Caenorhabditis elegans: one gene and its partners. The protein of the gene in region 2 interacts with the protein of the main gene of each other region in a pairwise test. Each region holds a gene or a part of one and is shown on either strand. Other genes may lie near its edges.

The links.
Region 1: the proteins of rfc-4 (region 2) and Y57G11C.22 interact in a two-hybrid assay, tested with the Caenorhabditis elegans proteins (3 studies listed by BioGRID).
Region 3: the proteins of rfc-4 (region 2) and K09A11.1 interact in a two-hybrid assay, tested with the Caenorhabditis elegans proteins (2 studies listed by BioGRID).

The regions. Positions count from the first base shown.
Region 1 is NC_003282.8:14,835,283-14,840,258, reverse strand, and holds the start of Y57G11C.22 (PRKCA-binding protein), read right to left. Parts: upstream 3,049-4,976; coding exon 3,043-3,048; intron 2,942-3,042; exon of another isoform or gene 2,920-2,941; intron 2,447-2,919; exon of another isoform or gene 2,426-2,446; intron 2,424-2,425; coding exon 2,330-2,423; intron 2,262-2,329; exon of another isoform or gene 2,240-2,261; intron 1-2,239.
Region 2 is NC_003281.10:6,970,623-6,974,292, reverse strand, and holds rfc-4 (Replication factor C subunit 4), read right to left. Parts: upstream 2,041-3,670; 5' UTR 2,034-2,040; coding exon 1,972-2,033; intron 1,926-1,971; coding exon 1,847-1,925; intron 1,802-1,846; coding exon 1,707-1,801; intron 1,659-1,706; coding exon 1,598-1,658; intron 1,533-1,597; coding exon 1,276-1,532; intron 1,229-1,275; coding exon 1,096-1,228; intron 1,043-1,095; coding exon 812-1,042; intron 765-811; coding exon 678-764; 3' UTR 576-677; downstream 1-575. Other genes in the region: eef-1A.1 (Elongation factor 1-alpha), read left to right, coding at 2,613-2,756, 2,810-2,978, 3,027-3,670. UniProt on the Caenorhabditis elegans protein: The elongation of primed DNA templates by DNA polymerase delta and epsilon requires the action of the accessory proteins PCNA and activator 1. This subunit may be involved in the elongation of the multiprimed DNA template.
Region 3 is NC_003284.9:13,260,472-13,265,089, forward strand, and holds K09A11.1 (BED-type domain-containing protein), read left to right. Parts: upstream 1-2,023; 5' UTR 2,024-2,028; coding exon 2,029-2,125; intron 2,126-2,175; coding exon 2,176-3,194; intron 3,195-3,240; coding exon 3,241-3,423; intron 3,424-3,472; coding exon 3,473-3,634; intron 3,635-3,679; coding exon 3,680-4,036; 3' UTR 4,037-4,118; downstream 4,119-4,618. Other genes in the region: K08H2.10 (CUB domain-containing protein), read left to right, coding at 1-128, 257-427; cyp-14A1 (CYtochrome P450 family), read right to left, coding at 4,610-4,618.

The DNA of each region.
Region 1 (4,976 bases), on a different chromosome or scaffold from region 2:
TAAAAGAAGCATATACAGACGAAAAACTACCTTGCGCCTATTCATCTGTAAAAAACGTTTACAAATATTTGAAGCCAAAATACAAGTCGTTAAAGTATGAACAAGTCGAAAAGGTTCTCGAAGATTTGGAATCTTTTACGCTTCACCGCCCGAATCAATCGCGATTCCCGCGTCGGAAAACAGTCTCACCTGGTCTTTATGCATCTCTTCAAATTGATCTCGCAGATATGTCCCGGTACAAGAAGGAAAACGACGGAGTAACCTTTCTACTAGTCTGTATAGATATTTACTCTCGACGGCTTTTTGTAAAAACGTTAAAGTCTAAAAAAGGACAAGAAGTGGCTCTAGCTCTACAAGACATTTTTAAAGAAATTGGTGTCACACCAATGACAATTTACAGTGATGATGGAAAGGAATTTTACAACTCGCATGTCAAAGAGTTGTTGGCCAAGAATTTTGTGAATCTATTTTCACCCAAAAGCGAAATAAAGTGTGCAATTGTGGAGAGGGCAAACAGGACTCTGAAAACTCGATTGGCAAAGTACATGACTCAAAAGTACAACCGACGTTATGTGGACGTTTTACAACAAGTTGTGAATGGTATCAACAATAGCGTTAATCGTGGAATTGGTAAAAAACCAGTAGACGTTGAGCGGGGAGATTTTTCAACTCCGATGCCTGTAGACAGCGTTAAAATCAAATTCAGAGTAGGAGATCACGTCAGAATCGCTGCAAAACGAGGACAATTTGACAAGGGCTACGAACAAGGATGGACTACAGAAGTTTATGTAATTTCCAAAGTGTTTGCAAGGAAACCAGTTACCTACAATATAGTAGACACTAATGGAGAAAAAATTGCCGGAATATTCTACACTCGAGAACTGACTAAATGCACATATAAACCAGACGCTCAGTATCGAATTGAAAAGATTTTAGCCACTCGTACAGTACGCGGAAAGAAACAGCACCTCGTTCGTTGGGACGGATATGGTGCCGAATTTGACTCTTGGATTGATGCATCAGGAGTATTAACTTTATGATTTGTCCATGCCAATTTCAAGAGCCGCCCACTTTTCTGAATTCAATCTTCATTTGTGCTCAATTTTTTGTTGTACGTAGTGACTTTTTTTGATAATGTCCTCATTCTCAAACTTTTCTTATCCTGATCCTTCACCTGCGAACGTCTTTTGGAATTTTGAAACTCTTCAAAACTCGTCTCAGGAACCAGAGTTTTTGCCATCAAATGTTTCTGATATTCCTATGTCGGAGAAGAAGGGAAAGAAAAATGTGAAAACTTTTAAAACGACACACACGGCTGCCAAGACAACGGAACCCCAGTTTGCTTTACGAAAAATGGAACCACTTGCCGCTATCCTGTTTTGTTCAGATTGTCAGGACGGTGCACAATATGATGGGTCAACTTTGAAAATTGACGTTTGTAAGAAATGCCGAAAGAATATTGGAAATTATAAAATTTGATTGATTGTATAATAATGTTTGAATTGTTAGTAATGCATGTAACACTAATACTTATCCTTATCTGTAATTGAATAAATAATAAAAAATGTAAAACATGTTTTTTGTAGGGAATGCTCTTTAAAGTTTTCGATAACGGGTGGAGAACCCTTTATCGAAAAACTTCAAATAGCTTTGAATGCATCATTTTTCAAAAGCACAGGTAAATTGAAAAAACTTGTTCATCAACTTTTACTCTTGAAACCCCCAGGGGCGCGGGGAGGGGGGCCTCCTTCCTTCATCAATCTCGGTAACGCTTGCATTCATTCAAATCGCGTTTGGGAAAAAGACGTCTCCTAAACGGCAGATGTTTCGAAATAGAAAAGAGTCAAATGCTACTGGGTTTGCGACTACGTCTATAGTGTATTGGTATGGCATCTGTTTTAGACGAATAGTGTCCTGGGTTCGAACCCGTCCCCTGGTTGAATGAACCAAGAACATCAAAAATGTCTTACCAGTCTCTTTCTCTAAATCTCTCAAAAACGCACACTATTTAAAAATCGATTCTTTCTTACTATAACCAAATCTCTCACTCTCTCGTCTTTCTCTAAATCTCTCGTTTCACACACTATTCTTGGTCAGACGGTAAAAAAAAACCAAGGAATGGTAAATTGTACACTCTACCACTACTAGCGTAATATTTCAAATTGTTTGAAAAACATTTTTTTTTCATTTTTTTCTGTTTCTAGTAGTTTTTAAATGAAGTGTTTCAAAAACCAAACTATTCACTTAAACATTATCGAGTTATTATTAAAAAATTATTTTGAGTTGGTTTCCATTTATATACAAGCATCAGAGAAAAAAATGAACAAACCAATTGAAATTCCGACGACACCTTTTTCATCTTTAGTCAACTCAATTGTCTCCGATTGAATTCTCATTCCGAGCCGGTCTTCTTCGATTTGGAACTGTAAAATATGGTTAAAAAACAATAATTAATTTGAAAACCTACAAATTATTTGTTAGAAAGTGAAACAGTAAGTTTTTTCACGATTATGGTAACCAGAGGTGGGCGGATATTTTTTCGGATATTTTCTAATAATGAATTTATCAATAAGTATTGATGTAGTTATTCTGGAAGAAATGTATCCAAACCAAAGAGTAACTATTAAGCAACATTTTAATATGATAAAACCTAGAAAAATTCTACAAGTTTTCCTTACCGAGACCTTAAAACTTATTAGCCGAGCAACATCGGATATCGGATATTACGGATATTACGGATATCGGATAATGGACTTGCATATCGTTTATACAGAAAACTTGTAGAATTTTTCTAGGTTTTATCATATTAAAATGTTTCTTAATAGTTACTCTTTTGTTCGGATACATTTCTTCCAGAATAACTACATCAATACTTATTGATAAATTCATTATTAGAAAATATCAGAAAAAAATATCCGCCCACCTCTGATGGTAACTATAATAGTTATGATTTTTATTGTTCTTTTTTAATAAAAACATGAAACATTCCAGTTTTTTTAGCTCAATTTCAAACTACACAAACAATTGAAAAAAAATACTTACATCCATAATTAATTTTTCTGCTTTAAAATCGATTGTCACTCCTTCACTCCTTCTAGCAGTACTAAAAGCTTCACGAGCAAAAAGAGCACAGAGACGGAGAGATGTAGAGACTACGAGAGAGTGTAGAGAAGCGGGAGACGCAGACAATCATGCACACTGAAAATGGAGAATGAGAGGAGAAGGGAGGAGATGCATGGAAGATGAGCTCAATGTGCATTTGATTCAAAATGGGGTTAGTGGCAGAATTTAAGACGACAAGAGAGGCCTTGGGAAGCTTGAGAAAATATATTGTAGGCCGTGCATGAATCCTCAAAATGTCTGCATGTCTAAAAAGCGACCACTAATGAAAACGAAAATTTCGTAAATCTTCAAAAAAATTATCAACTACAGAAGAAATGCCTGGATTTAAAACTCCTTGCTGAAACAGAGAAAAAACAAATTGATGAACTATTTTTCACTGAGATTCTGAGATTGTATTAAACCAGAAACATAACTAAATTTATATTTGGCAAAAGACTGAACTGCAATTAAAATTTTCAGTTACAAACTATATCCTACAAACTACCAACTAGACAAATTTCTCTTTGACGGAAATTTGTCGCAGGAATACAAATTGATAAAGGGAATACGATATACATATTTAACGCTCATTAACTACATTAATTTTTTGCGAGATGCTTTTAAAAACTTGTTGAAACAGAACAATATTTTCACTAAAAATTCGCAACCTTTTCACAGAGTTTATACATTTTCGGCGTAAGTGTAAAAAAAATCTCAATGAATTCAGATTCTGCAATTTTCCTTGTAAATTCCAGGAAAACTCCCGTTTTTTAAACCAAAATTTAAAAAAAACGAGAACTTTGTAAATCTACACTAATACCAGTTTTCCAAAGTTGAGGTTAAAATTGCAGCATGGAACCGATTAGAAACTACAGAAGGTAATTTTTTTTAAAAACTCACTGAAACAGGAAAAAAATTAATAAAATGTTTTCATTTTTTATAGACTCTGAAAATGTGTTGAGCTAGAAACATAGTAAAATTTCTTGAAATTTATATATTGCCGCAAACAGAGAAACTTTGAACTAAAGTTCACCGTTACAAGATACTTTTAAGGACTTCGTGAAACAGAACATTATTGTCACTAAGGTTTTGAATATTTTCCACAAAGTTTTTTGTGATCAGTTAACTAGTTAGTGAAAATAACTGAAAAAATAACTTGAAAATAGGAAATGTGTAACTTTTTCTTAGTTTTCAGAAAAAAAAATCTCTAAATTGTTATATGAAGTTGGAAAACCAAAGTTGTTCGATTTAAGAACCAAAATAGTATTAAACCGAAAGCATAACAAAATTGTCTGCAATTAATATTTTGACAATAACTGAATTGGAATTAAAGTTGACAGAATTATTATGGGCTACATATCCACTGATTCCTAGCGGAATAATAAAATTCATCTCGAAGAGATACCTTTGAAAACTTATTGAAACGGGACATTATTTTTTCTACAAATTCACAAATGTTTCACAGGAGTTATACTGGACAAAGCATATGCCTAATTGAAAAAAAACAAAATAAAAACTGCAAATTGTAACACTTTGACAAAAACCGAATCAAATTGACTGAAACAAAAAAATAACATTGTCGGAATTTAATTCTATTGAATCGAAATGAAAGTTTTCCTTACTTCGCACAAAAAACAAAATGGCTGGAGTTAACCGGCAAAAATGTCGAAAAACGTCATTGAAAACCCTCCAAATTACGGATATTTAATTTGAAACACATATTTTAACAAATTCAAATATGAATATTAAACATTTTTAAAATTTCTACACGAAAATGTAGCTTATAATAAGGCTTCATTCTTATTGAACTAGACTTATTATAAGCTACATTTCCACAGTATTCTAAAAGATCAATAAAATTCATCTCAATGAGA
Region 2 (3,670 bases):
ATACAGGAAAAGAGCAAACAGAGACAGTGAGCAAGTGTGATCAGGAGCAGGTACACGGATTATAAGCACTGAGACACATTGACTCGATCAAATTTGAGTACTGATCAGACGGTGGACTTTCGAATTGACCCCACTTTCTCTAATATTAGTACAGAGTCAGGAAGCTTCAATTGAAATCATATGGAAAATGAAGCAGAGCTATAGTAGAAAAGAAATTCACAATGAAATGGGATTCAAAATTGCCTCAATTCAAATTCTCACACAAATTGCTTGAGACAAAAAAGCTCTTGAAATTGGATACTTCCACTTCTTCAGCTTCATACCAAAAATGAAAACTGCTCAATGGGGCGAGATTACTTAGAAAATGGAAGGGGAGCCGAGTCTTCAAGGAGCGAAAATCGATGGGCGACAGAGGGTGAAAAACTGAGCGGAGAGCAAAATAGTTGGGAGGGAACTAGTAGTTATTTATTCCAAACTATCCTATTCGATATTTTGTATTCAACTGAAAAAAAACCTAAGCCGAATTGTACCTTCAAAAAAATATAATAATCTCAATGTTTTGTCGAAATTTGAGCACAAAACTATTGTTTATAGAATGTTAAAATTTATATATAGTACACGTGAATTTTGAAGTTGAGAAATCAATGGGCAAATTGAAACCGTATTGTGTTAATTTATCATTGGATAGTTTCACGAAGAGTGAGCAGAAAGTCGAGGAGATTGTTTTCCAAATCACATCCATCCAAAATTCGCTTTTCGCAAGTCTGAAATTGAACTTTCATTTCTATTTATGTATTCATCTTCCACCAACCGCAACCAGTTTCCCCATTACTCCAATATTCTCGTCATTGATAACATCTTCATCCATCAACTGTTGGAAACAACGACGAATGAAAGCAACACCAGTGCACGATTTTGTGATATCCTTTGTCAATGCAATTATTTGGGGAACATCAGCAGTCAGGATTGATTTGCAAACGTTTGAAATGAGTAAACTGTCCGAAGAACCACGGAGATAGCAATTTCGAGCATTGTCATCGCCCTGGAAATATAAAGTACTATTTTTACACAATATTTATAGAAAAAACAACTAACACTTTTCAAAATTGGAGCCAATGACTGAAGTGTACATACAGCTCGTCTCAAATCACCTTCTGAATATTCCATAACTTGTTTCAGTTCATCATCACTCATGGGAGTTCCTTCTGCATCACAAATTGTTCTCAATCTAAAAACACCGAAAGTTATAAAAAACACTTAATTTTGAAATTTCACCTTTGAACTTGAATCTCGGCTGGAAGTGATTTGAATCGGAACTTGGCACAACGGCTCACAACTGGAGGAATCAATCGGGAAACATAGTTGCAGATGAGAATGAAGCGAGTAGTTTTGGAAAAATCTTCAATAACTCTGCGCATTGCTGCTTGTGCTTCTCGGGTCATCGCATCAACTTCATCAAGTATGATAATTTTCAATTTGAGAACATCTTCCCTATGGCTGTGGCCCAAAGATGACTTGGAGAAGGATTGAATCTAAACAGGAAACGTTTTTATAATTATGGAATTCTTAATTAATTAAAAATCAGTGGCAATCTTACTTTTTGACGAACAACTGCAATACCACGCTCGTCCGATGCATTCAAATCAAGAACCCTATCGCTGAAAATATAATTATTGGAAAAAATTATCACCCAGTATTTCACTTACTGGAAAATATTTTTTGGGAAGAGTTGGCGGCAAAATGCAAGAGCTGCTGACGTCTTACCAGTACCTGGTGGTCCATAGAACAAAAGATGTGGTAACTGAAAAATTAAAACGATTAGTTTGAATAATTTTTTAAGCAATACGTCTCTTCCTTGAAGCGCTCCTTTCAGCATTGTGACGACTTCATCCTGGTATGCAATATCGTCTAGCGTTTTTGGACGACTGAAAATTTGAATTTACTTTGCAAATCGAAAAACAAAAAACTAACTATTTTTCTGTCCAGGTGAGCACCTTTGGTCTTTTATTGTCAACTTCCATTGGTTCTTCCATTGTTTCTGTTAAATTAATGAATTTTTCATAAAATAAAGACATTATACAATATAAAAATGAAGAATTTATTGAAAATAAACTGCCAGAGAGAAAAAGTATGCAACACTCCCGCCGAGAGTGTTTGAAATGGTGTACGGTACATTTTCGTGCTAGGAGTTAGATGTGCAGGCAGCAACGAGAGGGGGAGAGATTTTTTTGGGCCTTGTGAAATTAACGTGAGTTTTCTGGTCATCTGACTAATCATGTTGGTTTTTTGTTGGTTTATTTTGTTTTTATCTTTGTTTTTATCCAGATTAGGAAATTTAAATTTTATGAATTTATAATGAGGTCAAACATTCAGTCCCAGCGTTTTTCCTGTTCTCACTGTTTAGTCGAATTTTTATTTTAGGCTTTCAACAAATGTTCTAACTGTCTTATTTGTGACCTCACTTTTTATATTTTTTTAATTTTTAAAAATATTAGAAGTTTCTAGGATAATTTTTTCGACTTTTATTCTCTCTACCGTCCGCACTCTTCTTACTTTTAAATTAAATTGTTTTTTTTTCAGTTGGGAAACACTTTGCTCACTCCGTAGCAGCCATGGGAAAAGAAAAGGTTCATATCAACATCGTCGTCATCGGACACGTCGACTCCGGAAAGTCCACCACAACTGGACACTTGATCTACAAGTGCGGAGGAATTGACAAGAGAACCATCGAGAAGTTCGAGAAGGAGGCTCAGGAGGTAAATAGTACAAACAACTAGTTTGAAAGATTTTCTCACCCGATTTTTTTCAGATGGGTAAGGGATCTTTCAAGTACGCTTGGGTCCTCGACAAGCTGAAGGCCGAGCGTGAACGTGGTATCACCATCGATATCGCTCTCTGGAAGTTCGAGACTGCCAAGTACTACATCACCATCATCGATGCCCCAGGACATCGTGATTTCATCAAGAACATGATCACTGGTACGACTTTGTTAAATTTTTAGCTCGTTTATAAAACTTTAATTGCAGGAACATCCCAGGCCGATTGCGCCGTCTTGGTCGTCGCTTGCGGAACTGGAGAATTCGAGGCCGGAATCTCCAAGAACGGACAAACTCGCGAGCACGCTCTTCTTGCCCAGACCCTTGGAGTCAAGCAACTCATCGTTGCCTGCAACAAGATGGACTCCACCGAGCCACCATTCTCTGAGGCCCGTTTCACCGAGATCACCAACGAGGTTTCTGGATTCATCAAGAAGATCGGATACAATCCAAAGGCTGTTCCATTCGTCCCAATCTCTGGATTCAACGGAGACAACATGCTTGAGGTCTCCTCCAACATGCCATGGTTCAAGGGATGGGCCGTTGAGCGCAAGGAAGGAAACGCTTCCGGAAAGACCCTCCTCGAGGCTCTCGACTCCATCATTCCACCACAACGCCCAACTGACCGACCACTCCGTCTCCCACTCCAGGATGTGTACAAGATCGGAGGAATCGGAACTGTTCCAGTCGGACGTGTTGAGACCGGAATCATCAAGCCAGGAATGGTCGTTACCTTCGCTCCACAAAACGTCACCACTGAAGTCAAGTCCGTTGAGATGCATCACGAATCTCTTCCAGAGGCCGTCCCAGGAGACAACGTTGGATTCAACGTCAAGAACGTCTCCGTCAAGGAT
Region 3 (4,618 bases), on a different chromosome or scaffold from region 2:
GAAAAAATTTTGTTAATGGAGAATATGTGGATCTTTCGGAGGAAGAAAAATTGGAATATAATGAAAATGAATATAGTGACTCTGAAAATGTTGAAGATGAAAGCGAAGAAGAAGTAGTAACTGTACAGGTTAGTTGAAAAAAGACCACATCATAAAAAATGTTTCGCATCTCGGTGCTTCTTACTTTTTTGAAACTTATTGCTCTACTGGAATACAGGAGAAAATAAAACATACAATTGTACTTAAAATATTTCAGAGATTTCGCCGAATACCAAGACAACAAGAAAGAATGATTGAAATAAATGGGGAAGCTGATCACAAAATCAAAATTGAAAGCTACAAGAAAAACAACGACTCCAAGAACATCGAAGGTAATGCAAATATACCATGGATTTATACATTTGTATTACTGCTTCTGTTGTTATAATAATTTACACTGATAACTTGTTTTATTTAGATTTCAATGCTCCAACGGGTATTGACTTTGCTTTAGCATATTTTTTCTCCCATTTCCAAGGTAGAAAGATTCAATCCATTACCATGACTTGCAATGAATATTTTACTTGAAATAATGAACACTAAAAAAATTGTGCAGTTTCTTGGTTTCTTTCGGAGCGTTTTAACAAACATGAATTTTACAGTCAAGGCCTACATTCAACTATACAAAAGATCATACAGTTGTATTAGAAATAAAACACGCTTCAAAGTCATGCCAGGCTTTCCGTACAACCGCCTCATTGGCTCAGTGGCAGAGCGTCTGTCTAGTAAACAGAAGGTCGCTGGTTCGATTCCAGCATGAGGCACCGAAATTTTTTGTTGACTTTTAACTCAAAATCGGTGTTCTGAAAAAAATTCTCTTATAACCCGTCACATTCTGCATATGAAATGAAAAGAAATGTAAAAAATCATTTACTATATATAAAGCGCGTGTCCTTCTGTCCCTATGTAGTTTGATCTTTGATCAGAGCAACGAAATTTTGGGAAACCTTATGCTAAGTGCGCAGCAGACATCGATCGAGGTCCGCGAGAGACACCGTATATCTAATGTGCTTTCTCAAATAGTCGGGGGCCGCGCCGTAGGTGCGGTCCACGGCTGGTATAAATATAAAATACAAGTAGATATAGAAAGATAAATGATTATTTAGCGCATACCTGTTGGTGTTGTTTAATTGGGTATTCATGGTTTGTTTCTGATGCCGTTTTTGGAGTATCCGTCCGCAATAGACCACATTCGTTTTTCGTTTTCTCGAATTATTTTCTACTACTTCAGCATCTCTATTCTGGAAAATACTTGGCACACTGACTTATAGTATCCTTTTTCTGCACAAATTATTGTGCAAAATTGTTGTGCCCAAAAATATCAATTAGACACCAAAGACATGGTTTCTGTTTCAGACCTCCCAGTTTTTTACTTTTTCGTTTACAGTTCTGAATGTTTGTAGAATATTGTCTACACGATTTTTTGTTTTCTGAAAAAAAAATTATTTTTCATAATTTGTATGATGTTTATTTATTCCCTATAGATGTCACAGTCTTTGGGGCGATTGGCGAACTGTGTCATGCTAGTTGGTAATAGTAACAGGAGAGACTAATGCAATGGTGGAGTGCACAGACATTGTGGCTGTCGGCATACATACGCCGATGTGCCGAGTATCCCATCTGCCGCACACATCTTTTGAGTCTGTCGTCTCCATTTGTTCTCCACTCTTTATTCGTATTGAATTTATATTAGTCGGTCGACATTTTTTTCTTTCTTATATAATTGTTCAAAAAATTTTTGAATATAAAATTTTTGAATAGCAGATATAGGAAATCTAGTCAAAATTTTAATGTGCCCGGAAATAGAATTTCTAATTTAAAATGTTTCGCATTTTTACAATATTTTTTTCTTTATTTTCTTCTCTCTTATTTTATATATTTTAGTGGTTTGTCATTTTCATTCGATGTGAGCCCAAATTTCGTGTTTTTGGACCCATCAAATGACATTGTACCTCATTTTTTATTGAAATATTATTGGTCTTACAGGACATGGTAAAATCACGAGTGTGGGACTATTTTCTGAAACTTCAAGATGGCCGCAACAAATGCAATTTATGCAACAAAATTTTGGCGAGAGGGAGTAGAGGTATAAATTTTCTTTGTTTAAAATAGTGTTTTTAATAAACATTGTTCCAGGTTCAACACATAACCTTATCAGTCATTTGACGCGAGTTCACCCAAAAGAATATGTTCTTCAAGAAGAGCCACCAGTTATGATAGCTCAGGAGGATTCTTCGGAATTCAGTTTTCAAAGTAACAATATGAAGACTGAAGATTTCACAATGCAATCATTTTTTGAACCAGAATTCATGAAACTGTATAATGATAACAATATCACCAAGTCTATTATGGAAATGATTTGCATGGATTCAATGCCAATGACGACGACTGATCGAGCAGGATTCAAGCGATTTATGACAAGTGTATGTCCGGATTATGAGTTGAAAAGTCCCTCATCAATGATATCATACGAGTTGCCAAAATTGTATCAAGAGTACGAAGACCAACTAAGAATGGAATTGAATTTGGCTGAGCACGTTGTTCTCTCTGTTGACATTTGGTCCGACAAAGGTTCGATACAGGAGATGATTGGAGTTACTGGAAACTTTTTGAAAAACGAGAAAGTAGTTCGTCGTACAATTGGAGTTATCAACTATCAAAAGGACGTACACAACGGAGTCTATGTTGCTGCTGAACTTGATAACCTGATGGCCCGGTTCAATTTAAATGGAAAAGTAGAAGTTGTCTGCAGAGATTACAATTCAATTGTAGAAAATGCATGTGACCATTTGAAAATTTCTTCAGTTAATTGCTTCAATCAACAGCTACATTTGGCAGCTTGTGAGGCAAAATCAAAAATTGGACAAATAAACAGAGTTTTGTTGAACTGCAAGCTACTTGTCAAAAATTTGAAAAACAGTTCTGTCACCTGGCAAACATCAGAGAAAATCCAAAGTTTAATGGAAATTCCAAATTTGTGCCTCAATCATTGCTCAGACGAATGTTGGTGTTTCTTGCAAGAATTCTTTGGGAGGGTCATAGAATGCCAACAAGTGATTGAAGAACTTCAAAAACTGCAATCGAGCGATTGGGACCTTATGAGAGATGTCGTGGAAATTCTGGCACCACTTAGCAAGTTTTCTAAATTATCAGAGGTAAATTTGCTACTATCATCATTACCCCTCTATGTTTTTTTTCCAGTCAAAAGAGTCGTCTGCTTCAGTGATCATTCCATACTGTGATTATCTTGTGAAAGCATACGAATCAACACAAAATCAGCCGGAAGCATTTTTGGCAGTTAAAGAACACATGGAAAGAGAGCTGCACAAATACACATCTTGCCAGTACTTGAAATTTTCCACTCTACTTGATCCGCGATATAAGGTATAACTTTAAAATATGAGAACAAGATTTGTTAAGTTGTATATTTCAGGATTTATATACAAACGACAGTGACACTTCCAATTTGATAAAGGCCATTGAAACTGAATTTGAAACGATGGATTACAAAAACAGAACATTTGAAGAGATTTCTTCAGAATTGTGTGGACCAGCTCCAAAATCTCAGAAACTTGATTTTGACGCTTATATACAGGTATTTAAAACTCAAAACATAGTTAAGTTAACAAATAAATTGCAGGAAAAAATTAAATCTCGCGGCAAACATAACGCATTAACTGGTGAAAAATTGACCGTGAGAATGGAAGTGACTCGATATCTCTCAACAGCCGTTGAAGATGTAACGCCTAGAGATTTCTGGCTAAACGATGTGACAAAAGCTTCTTATCCAAGACTTGCCAAATTCGCTCGACGTTTTATAATTTGTCCGACGGGATCTAGTGCAGCCGAGAAACTATTTTCAACAGATCGAGCGACTATGGATGAGTACAGAAATACTTTGTCTGATGAAAATTTGAAAATGCTCATTTTTTTGAACAAAAATATTTCTTCAATGACTGATCTTGAATTTGAAACAGAGCGGGACCTACATGACTAATTATTGATCTAATGATTTTATTTATTTGTTACTGAAAATTTCTGATTTTTTTTTGTTTTCCAATAAAAATCTTTATACTTTTTGTTGCAAATTTTGTGTCTTTAAACGATAGGGCAATAAAAACTAGCGTTGGAAAATACCATGAAAAAATAAATCGAAAAAATCAAAAAAGAAATCCGTCGAACCGGATTCGAACCAGTGACCTAAGGATACCCGCTGACTCTACAGTCCTCCGCTCTACCAACTGAGCTATCGACGGCATGTGAACATGCAACACGCTCTGCGTAAAAGTTCTTGCCCCTTCTCCCACTCTCTCTCTCTCTCTCTCTTTTGCTTTCGTGCGGAGAAGCATGAAAGATAGAGCGGAGAGAAGAAGCGTGAAAAGTGCCGGCGGCTTTCATGTGCTTGCTGACTAGAAAAGAGCAGTGGCTATTTTCTAGTTAGATAAATTGAATATTGTGAAAATGGTTTAATAAATGCACCACTGTACAAGAAAAAGCTTATTGAAATTCATCTTTAAAACTACATATATTATACATTGTTCATTTTTATTCAAAAACAAAGATCAGTAGTTTAAAATTG